3 linked regions of the Bombyx mori genome follow. The protein of the gene in region 1 interacts with the protein of each later gene in a pairwise test. Links are inferred from orthologs where the notes say so. Each region holds a gene or a part of one and is shown in the gene's direction. Other genes may lie near its edges.

What was found.
Region 2: the proteins of transcriptional adapter 2B (region 1) and histone acetyltransferase KAT2A interact in a two-hybrid assay, tested with the Drosophila melanogaster proteins (4 studies listed by BioGRID). The link is inferred for Bombyx mori from reciprocal best matches to the Drosophila melanogaster genes Ada2b and Gcn5.
Region 3: the proteins of transcriptional adapter 2B (region 1) and transcriptional adaptor 3 interact in a two-hybrid assay, tested with the Drosophila melanogaster proteins (4 studies listed by BioGRID). The link is inferred for Bombyx mori from reciprocal best matches to the Drosophila melanogaster genes Ada2b and Ada3.

Annotation. Positions count from the first base shown.
Region 1 is NC_085131.1:6,658,763-6,662,524, reverse strand, and holds the start of transcriptional adapter 2B, read left to right. Parts: upstream 1-944; 5' UTR 945-1,050; coding exon 1,051-1,161; intron 1,162-1,256; coding exon 1,257-1,316; intron 1,317-1,393; coding exon 1,394-1,535; intron 1,536-2,272; exon of another isoform or gene 2,273-2,883; coding exon 2,884-3,101; exon of another isoform or gene 3,102-3,173; coding exon 3,174-3,246; exon of another isoform or gene 3,247-3,569; coding exon 3,570-3,723; exon of another isoform or gene 3,724-3,762. UniProt on the Drosophila melanogaster protein: Component of several Gcn5-containing histone acetyltransferase complexes that regulate nucleosome organization; involved in acetylation of histone H3, particularly on Lys-10 (H3K9ac) and Lys-15 (H3K14ac).
Region 2 is NC_085120.1:4,776,950-4,780,611, reverse strand, and holds part of histone acetyltransferase KAT2A, read left to right. Parts: intron 1-124; coding exon 125-285; intron 286-1,090; coding exon 1,091-1,168; intron 1,169-2,164; coding exon 2,165-2,281; intron 2,282-2,847; coding exon 2,848-2,938; intron 2,939-3,254; coding exon 3,255-3,381; intron 3,382-3,662.
Region 3 is NC_085109.1:9,156,037-9,159,281, reverse strand, and holds transcriptional adaptor 3, read left to right. Parts: upstream 1-934; 5' UTR 935-1,167; coding exon 1,168-2,550; 3' UTR 2,551-2,630; downstream 2,631-3,245.

The DNA of each region.
Region 1 (3,762 bases):
CACAGATTAATATGCAGTATTATAAGAGAGCTGCTTTTAAACTAGAAATTAACGAATTTCATTGGAATTATCACTATTTGTAAGACTAGTAACAGTTTCCTGGTTCAAATTTAGCTTAGGTCTATATTTTACGTCTATGGTTGCCTGGTAAGTTCGACTATTAATTTGCAAATTATACTGTACATCGTGAATTTTAATATCACCGTCCTTTTCTATACTTGCGTTAGGAAGAGATATTGTAGTAAAAATACGTCTTATCAGACATTCGACAGGAATGATGCGTCTTAGCTTAACGTTAAAAATCTTTTTCACACAGTAATACGGTTTTCTAAATGAGAGCATTAAATTACAAACAAAACAGGATTTTGATTTTGTCGAACTGTCTGTAAACTGTAACTGTAAAAACTGTCTCACACTTCAAACTAGAATGCATGATGGTTTCATGGAAGAAATACACTAATATAAGCCTCTTGTCGATCGCAAGACCTATATTGGTTTATTATTTCTGTGCATCGTTCATTGTTCAGTTTTCTTAGTTGTATTTTGTGACAACAACGGGAAGCGATAGGGTAGTTTTTTTTTCTACCTAAGCCGATAGCCTTGAGAGGCTATGTCAGTCAAACCTAACAAGTAGGTGAGCTCACGGGGCTCAAACCTGACGATTTTGCTAACACTAACCCTAGCAAGAGCAGTGCTTCGCAGAATCTACTACCGGATCGGAAACGCGACCCACTGTGAAGATCCGGCGAGAAACTCGGTGAACTGTGTCTGTGGGTTAATTTTCTCGCCGATGACCGGATAGGGTAGTGTTACTCCAATCTTGCGCTACCAAATTAATTTTCAAATACATAGTAGATTCAAATCTATTCAACATGTTAGAATGCGTAGTTAAGTTTTAGGAAATAAAATATTTTACAAAATATGTTTTATTACTCTGGTAACTCAAAATGTTTGGGAATAAAAAACGTAAAATGGCTTTGGAAATTTGTGCGCTAATCTGAAGCCTGCCAACGTACAAGTTTAAAGTTTGTTTTCACTGTAATAAAAATCATGTCATTTTCAGATCTTTACGCTAAATATAATTGTACATATTGTCAAGAGGAAATAAACGGCGTAAGAGTTAAATGTACTGAATGTGTTGATTTTGATATTTGTTTGCAGGTAAAGTAGTTGATACTGCCATTTTTGTTGATAGTTTTGGCGCAAAATTTAAAATTGTCACTTAGAAATTAATATGCAATAAAATGCATTTTCAGTGTTTTTCTCTTGGTGCTGAAATCGGACAGCACAAAAACGATCATTCATATCAGTTTGTGGTAAGCACTTTATAAACGACTACTGTAATACTATTACAGAAAGTAAATAGATTTTCAAGAGTGTTCTATTTTTCCAGGACTCTGGGGCTTTTGGAATATTTTTAGGACGTAGTAGCTGGTCAGCTAACGAAGAAGTAAGATTATTAGATGCCATAGAACAATTCGGCTTTGGTAACTGGGAGGATATAGCAAAACATATTGAAACAAGAACTCCTGAAGGTAATTTAATGATATAAGCTACTCAGTAATCTGCTGTCTTAGCACTGTGCTTCGGTTCATTTTTCAACATTGGCATCAAACAGCATACATTGCATGCCTTGGCAAAGAATACCTAGTATATGCATACTATTATTTGTAACTTTTTATCTAAATGCAATAACAATTTTCAAAAATAGCTTCTGCAACGAAAAAACATTGTTGAATAAAATATGGTGAATATTTCGAATTTCAATTTTTTTTAAAGCTTCAGCTTTTATATTTGGGTAGACGTGCTTACCGTCTACCTGTTGTTGTTAGGTGGTTACGGGATTCAAGAGATTTCAACTACGTAAATGTTACTAGCCACCTTTAGGCATGATTACTAAGTCTCAGTTTTATAATATCGAGGGGTGAAATGCTATTTGGTATAACGTACATTACCTTAGTAATTAAAGGTATACTTGGTATCAACAGTTCGATGTTTTTAGTTGAATTTCAATTTACGTTTACTCCATTCAAATAGCTGAAGACGTTTTTTGGTTATGATATTTTTTCCAATTTTTAAGCTTTGAATGGCCTTCCTGTAAAGTTGTCAAAAATGTCATTTAAACCGAATAGCCTTTTACTCCCTTGATATAGTAACTTTGCATATTTAATGGTGACAGCATGGTCACAACCATTCAATAATGTATATAAACTCACCACATGCAATGTTAAGACAGGATTTTTTCATGGGCTATGGAAGCTCAAAATATATATTAAACAAGAATAAGAAATATATATTAAACATTTACATTAAATAAATTTTGTTGGGATTAAATTTACATGATGCATATCCTTTATTTTCACAAGTAAAAAAGAATAATTTGGAAATAAATCATCCCATAAGTTCAAATCAACGATTTAACACCAGTACTAAAAATAATAAATAGGGTGAGAAGTAATTATTTAAATCTGTTGAGAATACTTCTAAAAATTGACACCGCAAAAGGACTGACCATGTCAATCTCAGATTCTTTAAGACCTCTGCACTCTTCTAAACTCCTTCCTAAACCTGTAACAGCGATGGAAGCATTGTAAACAAATATACTGAACTGCGACTATAGGTAGAGCAAAGGAGGTTCTGCTTCACATGGTGGCAGTGGTACAGTAGTGCTGAACTTTAGAAAGATTACCAAAGAATTATCATACTATATATAAATTTATTAATTAAATATAATAATAAAAATAAATAATAATCATAATCATCGTTCTTTCCTATTACCCTCTGCTGGGGTGTAGGGCTCGAATCAAATCCTTTCATTTACATCATTGTTATAAGAAAGACAAATAAATAATAATAACAAATAAACATAAATTTCAATTACAGAAGCAAAAGATGAATACATTACTAGGTACCTGGAAGGCACCATAGGCAAAGCAACATGGGGCAATATTGAAAGTACATCTCGCCCATCACTACATTGTGCAGATAAAGATGATGGCCCACTTGGTCCAACTGCAGTGTCTCGACTACCAAACCTAGCTATAACAGTAGACGAAGCAGCACAACTTGGGTATATGCCAAATAGAGATGATTTTGAAAGAGTAAGAATGAATTTTTTGTACTATTTACTATAATAAATTAAAATATTGTTCTACAAAGTGTCGAAATTTCAGGAACATGATCATGAGGCAGAGCAGTTGATCTCAACATTATCATTAAATCCAGAAGATGATGAATTAGATGTTGGTAGGTTATATATAGATATATATTCAATAGATAAGTGGTTTTTGGTTGATAAAATATGTGGTTTTTAATATAATAATATCCTTTTAAAAAAATCATAATAATGACTGATAGACTGCCGACCTTGAGCTTGAAATTTACATATGAATTATTCACTCTGAGACGTCTCTTATTTGATACATATTATGAACAGGCTAGACTAAAAGCTTTATAAGATCTGTATATCTATTTTATGATTTTAAAACGTCTCATAGCTTAGTTAAATACATATAAGATATATATAATAAATAAAAAATGACATATCCCGTTTTTTTTATTTTTTATAGCACTAAAGCTATCACAAGTTGATATATACATCAGAAGACTGAGAGAGAGAACGAGACGAAAAAGATTAGTTAGAGATTTCCAGTTAGTGTCTGTCTTCTTCAACAATCAGAGGAATAAACAGAAGACCCTAGGAAAACTTGCCAAAGAAAAAAAGTATGTACCAATAATATTTTTGAAGTATTTCAAATGTGT
Region 2 (3,662 bases), on another chromosome or scaffold:
GTTTTTTTTATGTGTTACCTCATAACTTTTGATTGTCAAGCCTCAGAAGGCTACGTCTGACACTCACAGAATACAGTCACTAAAGATCCTCTGATCTCCGAGCCTGGTCTGTTTAATTCCACAGGCTACTTCAAGAAGCAGGGTTTCAGTAAAGACATTAAGCTGCCGAGGGCGATGTACCAAGGATACATAAAGGACTACGAGGGAGCAACCCTCATGCACTGCGAATTGAACCCTAGAATAGTATACACACAGTTCACTTCGGTTATTAGGATGCAGAAAGAGGTACGTCGTTACTGATATTTGAAATTATTAATGTTGTTGTGGTGGGTAGCCATCATACAACGCAATTGATGCCTGAATGTCGCTTACGACATTTTCAAGATAAGCTCGCATATATACAAGTTCCGAACAACACTATATACGGACCGTCGGTCTACCGAGCAATATCACCCGCTCGGTGAAGGGTCTTCCCATTGTCGTTAAACATCCAAAATTGTACTAGGGAGGCCTTGTTCGTTTAAGTAGCGAAAAATGATAATACACTGCATTGCACGTAATGTATTACAAACAAAAAACAGCTGGTAAATGGACTCTGTTGTGACGGTGCCCCGCCGCGCGTCTGGCTACACGTTACATTGCTGCTTGGCGACAAAGCGACATTGGCTTAGTAAATGAATATAGTTAGCATTCCGACTACGCTCTGTTTTTTTATTTATTGCTTAGATGGGTGGACGAGCTCACAGTCCACCTGCCCCATAGACATCTACAACGTAAATGCGCCACCCACCTTGAGATATAGGTTCTAAGGTCTCATGTATAGTTACAACGGCTGCCCCACCTTCAAACCGAAACGCATTACTGCTTCACGGCGGAAATAGTTTACACTTGATACCACTAACATCTGAGAATTTTAAGAAACTTAAGCTGTGTAACTTTCTTTATATACTTATAAAATATAAAAAAAAAAAACTTATAGGTATTAAGTATTTGTGTTAGGTAGGTATAGGTATCATGTATTAAGTATTTGTGTAATTAGTCCTGTGTATATCAAATAGAATCTGAAACAATAAAAATACTTTCATTTCAGATCGTAAAGAAACTTATAGATATGCGACAGAAGGAAGTTAGAAAAATTTATCCCGGCCTCACTTGCTTCAAGGAAGGTGTATGTATACATATAGACATTTCTTTAAAATTAGATTGTAGTGTTATTAATTAGAGTAATTACACTCCTTTTCCTTAAAAAGGATTACTAAGTGCGGCTTATATTAAAACAGATGCACAGTGAACTGACATGTTACCCAATACATGTGCTTAAGTTTATAATTTACTAAATAAAATAATAAGGCATAACATAGATATTGTTATGCCGGTAATAGTAACGCCATCTATGGCTGAAAAGCAGAAACGAATATCAAATGAACTAGTAACGTCCATAACGCTCGAGGAGTACAACGCCATCTATTGTCAAATGGCGGAAACGCATATGTAAAATTCTCGACTTGTGAGGGATATTCTCAATAATTCTAGGGGTGTCGTATCGACTATAAAAGCGTTGCAGAGATAACACGGAGTCAGGTAGTAATCGGAACTATTTTAAAGTAATAAAAGAAAATAAAAAAAAACGTAAACCTATTGAATTGTTTGACATACTTATTCAGAAAGTGCATTTACGTTACTCTCGACTCATAGACTGACTGAAGTGGATCGATTGACGAACTGCTGTTTCAAAGAATGCTAGGGGTTAGGGGTTTGCTTATGTGAGGTGAAGCTGAGGAGTGCGAAAGGGAGTGGGGATTCCACTTCGGATCCTCGGCCCAGAGGCCGGGGAGGACGGCACGAGCGCGATTCCCCGATCCGGTTCACCTATCTAAGTAATAAAAAAAAATCGATCAATAGAATCTTTACTGGTGGTAGGACCTCTTGAGAGTCCGCGCGGGTAGGTACCACCACCCCGCCTATTTCTGCTGTGAAGCAGTAATGCGCTTCGGTTTGAAGGGTGGGGCAGCTGTTGTAACTATACTTGAGACCTTAGAACTTATATCTCAAGGTGGGTGGCGCATTTACTTTGTAGTTGTCTATGGACTCTGGTAACCACTTAACACCAGGTGGTCTGTGAGCTCAACCACTAAGAATTTAGTTTCGTCGTGTATTGTTCTAGGTCCGCAGCCTCCCCCCGGAGTGCATCCCCGGGGCGCGCGAGGCAGGGTGGCGCGCCCCCCCGCCCCCGCACGACCCCGACCCCGACCCCGTCACCCTGCGGAACGTGCTGCACGCAGTCAGTATATGCACGTCACTATAGACACCACCACCGTGGACATCACGAGGCGGAAATAATACTCGTCCCAAAAAAATAGACTCTTCATTTAAAAATCTGTATATAAATAGGCAAAGACATAACAGTCAATCGCCTTATTCTTCTTTAACCCTTTGACTGCCATGTTTGTCGATTTCTGTTACTAAGGCGCCGGAATCGAAAGCGAATCTGAAGATACTGAGAATGAATCTTATTTCTAAGAGACTTAAGAGAACTAAAACATACATTAACAAACAAAAGAAGGCAAAGTTAGGCAATCTCCAGGTGCTTAGTAACAGATATTGACTTAAGTACTTCAGTGCGAAGGGTTAATAGTACTGACGTATTTTCCGACTTTAAAAAAACGAAGAGTTTCTCAATTCGACTGTATTCTTTTTGTATGCGTTACCTTATTTCTTAGTAACTATTGGCGAGATATAAGGTTATAATTTTAAAACGAAAGAAAATGTAATGATCGTTAATGTAATCTAAGTCTGAGGTATCAAGGCCTAAGGTTGAATTTCGATTGATTGTCAATAACGTTTTAGGTAAAGAACCACGCGACGGCCTGGCCGTTCCTGAAGCCGGTCGACAAGGCGGAGGTGCCGGACTACTACGATCACATCAAGTATCCGATGGGTGAGTCTATCTTTTTTTAGTGCTCTTATAGGCAGACTAGCTGTACCCGTCCGCTTCGCTGGGCATTTAAAATTAACATTATTATTTCTCACCCCCACAAACATTCTCATCATGAACGCCCCCGCAACTGGTGTAGGGAGTCCAACACTCATATAAATATTAGCCTATCCATTAAGTACATGTATTTTCTACATGGATACTAAGTTTTAAGTCGATCGGATGCATGGTTCAGTAGTTATAACGGAACATCCATAAAAACTACTGTAGATTTATATATTGTATGTGTGTGAGTATGTGTTTATCTTTGTGTTGCAAGACTTGCGCACGATGGGGGAACGTCTCAAAGCGCGCTACTACGTGTCCAAGCGGCTGTTCATAGCGGACATGACCCGGATATTCAACAACTGCAGACTCTACAACTCGCCCGACACCGACTACTACAGGTGCGATGAACTTTAATACTTATGTACCATTGCTGAAGTCCATGGGCGACGGTAACCACTCACCATCAGGCGGGCCGTATGCTCCTCTGCTTACAAGGGCAATAAAAATAAACTAGTAACCGCGAGGGGTTAAGGGCTAGCTTCACCAAACTTGTAGCCGATGGGCTCAGCCTAGGACACTTTGCTAACATTGGCCCTAGCAAGACCAATGCTTCGCAGAATCTACCACCAGATCGGAAACACGACCCACTGAGAAGATCCGGCGAGGAACTCTGGGCTGT
Region 3 (3,245 bases), on another chromosome or scaffold:
CTTTATGTAGGTAAAACTGGACTTTTTGGCGGGAACGCGAGGAGTGAAGTTGTGTGATTTGTTTTATTTTGTCTATTTAGTGTTTCTTCAGGTTTAAATGTGTAATAACGGTGGTTTATTAACTGTTTAATATCTGTGAAAGTGCACAAATGTGGGAAAAAGAAACAAAGCCGCTGGACGTAACTTCTCGGGATCCTCCACAAAGTCCACTGAAAAAATCTTAGTAAATGACCACCATTTTACTGAGATTATATTTCATCCCATATCATCTCATCTCATTTCATTTAATTTCATCCCAGTTGATTAATGTCTCAAATTAATCATTTTCATTTCATTTCACCCCATATTATCATTTTTCATAAAAATATGAATATAAATTAAAATAAGACATGACTTAAAGGTCTTAGTTACCAGGTCGTAAAATCACTTAAAAAAAAAGTAGGTAAAACTTCTGACTTTTTGGCGGGAACGCGAGGAATGAAGTTGTGTGATTTGTTTTATTTTGTCTATTTAGTGTTTCTTCAGGTTTAAATGTGTAATAACGGTGGTTTATTAACTGTTTAATATCTGTGAAAGTGCACAAATGTGGGAAAAAGAAACAAAGCCGCTGGACGTAACTTCTCGGGATCCTCCACAAAGTCCACTGAAAAAATCTTAGTAAATGACCACCATTTTACTGAGATTATATTTCATCCCATATCATCTCATCTCATTTCATTTAATTTCATCCCAGTTGATTAATGTCTCAAATTAATCATATTCATTTCATTTCACTCCATAATATCATTTTTCATAAAAATATGAATATAATTTAAAATCAGAAATGACTTAAAGGTCTTAGTTACCAGGTCATAAAATCCCTTAAAAAAAAGGTAAAGCTTCTGTGTTAAAAACGGTATCAAATAAAAAATAAGTTTTATTTTCTGAACGCCATTTTGTTCTGTGATTTCGGCATTTGTTTTGCTGTACTAGAGAAACTTTAAGAATTACGCTTTTGTCTTAAAAAATCAACACAAGTTGAGTCATAGACGTGATATTAACGTTAAGTACTTTAAAGTCTAACATTTTAAAGTGATTCCAAGATTTCAGTGCAATAAATAATGTAGATTAGCGTAGAATATTGGGCTTGTGTTATTTATTTTGGCGGGTAAATTATATTGAATCGAGATGCTGGGTAAGAGGATGCATCATAATAGCAAAGGCAGACTAGCTAACAAAGACAATGGAAAGCCATCAAGCCCTGGAATTACACCATACACTAAACCAACAAAGATTCCAGGTTCTGTTTCTACTGCCAAAATCAAAGTTGAGACATGCCCAATTCCATACATTAAAATACAAGATAATGCAGTGCTTTTGCCACGATTTACTGCGGTTGCAGCGAGATCTGCTGATGAACCTATTGGGATGGATGAGCTGGATGGGTTACAGTTGGAATTAGAGTCATTGCTATGTAATACTGCCCTACGATGCAGATATTTTCAATCTGAAATAGAAAGCATAGATTCGAATGAATCTAAAAGAGAAAAAAAAGGCAAAGCAGCCGGTAAACAGCTACAGTATCCTGTAAAAAGAAAATTTCAAGATGACAAAGTGGTTAAAACTAAAGACTACACAAAATTATCCAATCAGCCAAAAGTGCCTAAATTTAAAAATTTCTCAAACGCTTCCTCAGGATCTCATACCTACTCTAATGATTTAGTGAATTCAGACAACTCTGTAAAACTTGAACTTTCACAATTAGCACTGCCTAAAAATAATATCCCATATAAATTTTGGAATTCAGTAGAGCCTTATTGTGCTCCTGTAACATTGGATGATATAAAATTTTTAGAGTCCTTATTAGCTCAAAGCAGTAACACCACACTACCTCCGATCCCTCCATTAGGAAAGCATTACTCAGAAGTTTGGGCAGATGAACATCTTGCTGAAGATCAAAATGCATCTAATCCTAATAAGCAAAAATCATCTATGTCTCCAGATGCATCTCATGCTCGTAAGAAGCTAGAAAAGTCATCAGAAAGCATGATAACTGGACCTTTGACACAAAGATTAGTCTCTGCTCTTATGGAAGAGAATGTGATGTCTTATGAAATACCTGATATTAAAGTAAAAATGGTCTCCACCACTAAAAGTGGCTACAAGAATTCATTAACATTAGAAAAGTGTTTGAGGAAGGAATTGGTTGAACAAGGAATACTTGATCCAGAGGATTTACCACCTCTCACTAATCCAGCTGATGATGAAATACTAGCAGAGATTAAAAAATGTCAAACAGAATTAACAGCTGTACGTAAAGAGAATTGTCGAAATCTTAAAAATTTAATTGGTTTGTGTAAACAAGAAATGATTAGACTGAATCTGAAAAAGCAACTGGATCAAGTGGATCTAGAATGTATTGATATTTATAAAAAGATGGTAGCGGCTAAACAAAAGAAGCGCCCTGTTACTAAGAAGGAAAAAGAAGATGCTTGGAAAGCAATAAATGAACAAATAAGGCTAAACAAAGAAATCAATGCTTTGCCACAAACGGGTCCAAATTCAAATTAGATATTAGTGTTCGGCATGATACAAAAATAACATGTGGTAATTATTCTAGGAGTATCTGTTGAATTAAATATGGAAAAATACTTGTTTTATTACTGTGACTACTAACTACTTATTTGGCAAATTTGACCTTGGCCTTGGATTATGGCCTTGACTTTTTAAAGGATAAGATGTTTAGTGCATTTTTATCTAGTGATGCAACAATGTTTGAATCCCGCAGGTGGGTACCAATTATTCTAATGAAATATGTATTTAACAAATGTTCACAATAGACTTCCACCGTGTAGGGACTTCTCATCATGTAAAAAAAATCAAACCTGCAAGTTTATAATTTGCACAATTACTCTGGTGGTAAGATGTCTTGTGAATCTGCACAGAACAGAACTAATGAATGCTAATGCAAATTTTTTATTTACTGCAGATTTTGTATTACCTCATTTTATTTTGTTATATACGAGTCGTCTATTATCAAAGGTGGCAATCTGTGCATTTGGACAAAAAAATGTTATTGGTATGTCAATACAGATTGATTTGAATATAATCGTCTCCTTCAAAGAATACGGTTCAAAACCTGCATTAAATAAAGGTTAATACTTAACCTGTTATTTATCTAAGATGTAGTTAAGAAGAGTTTTGTGACTGCCAATGGAATACAAAGTCAATAATTCGTTTTTCTGATTTACCAATAATTGTCCAAA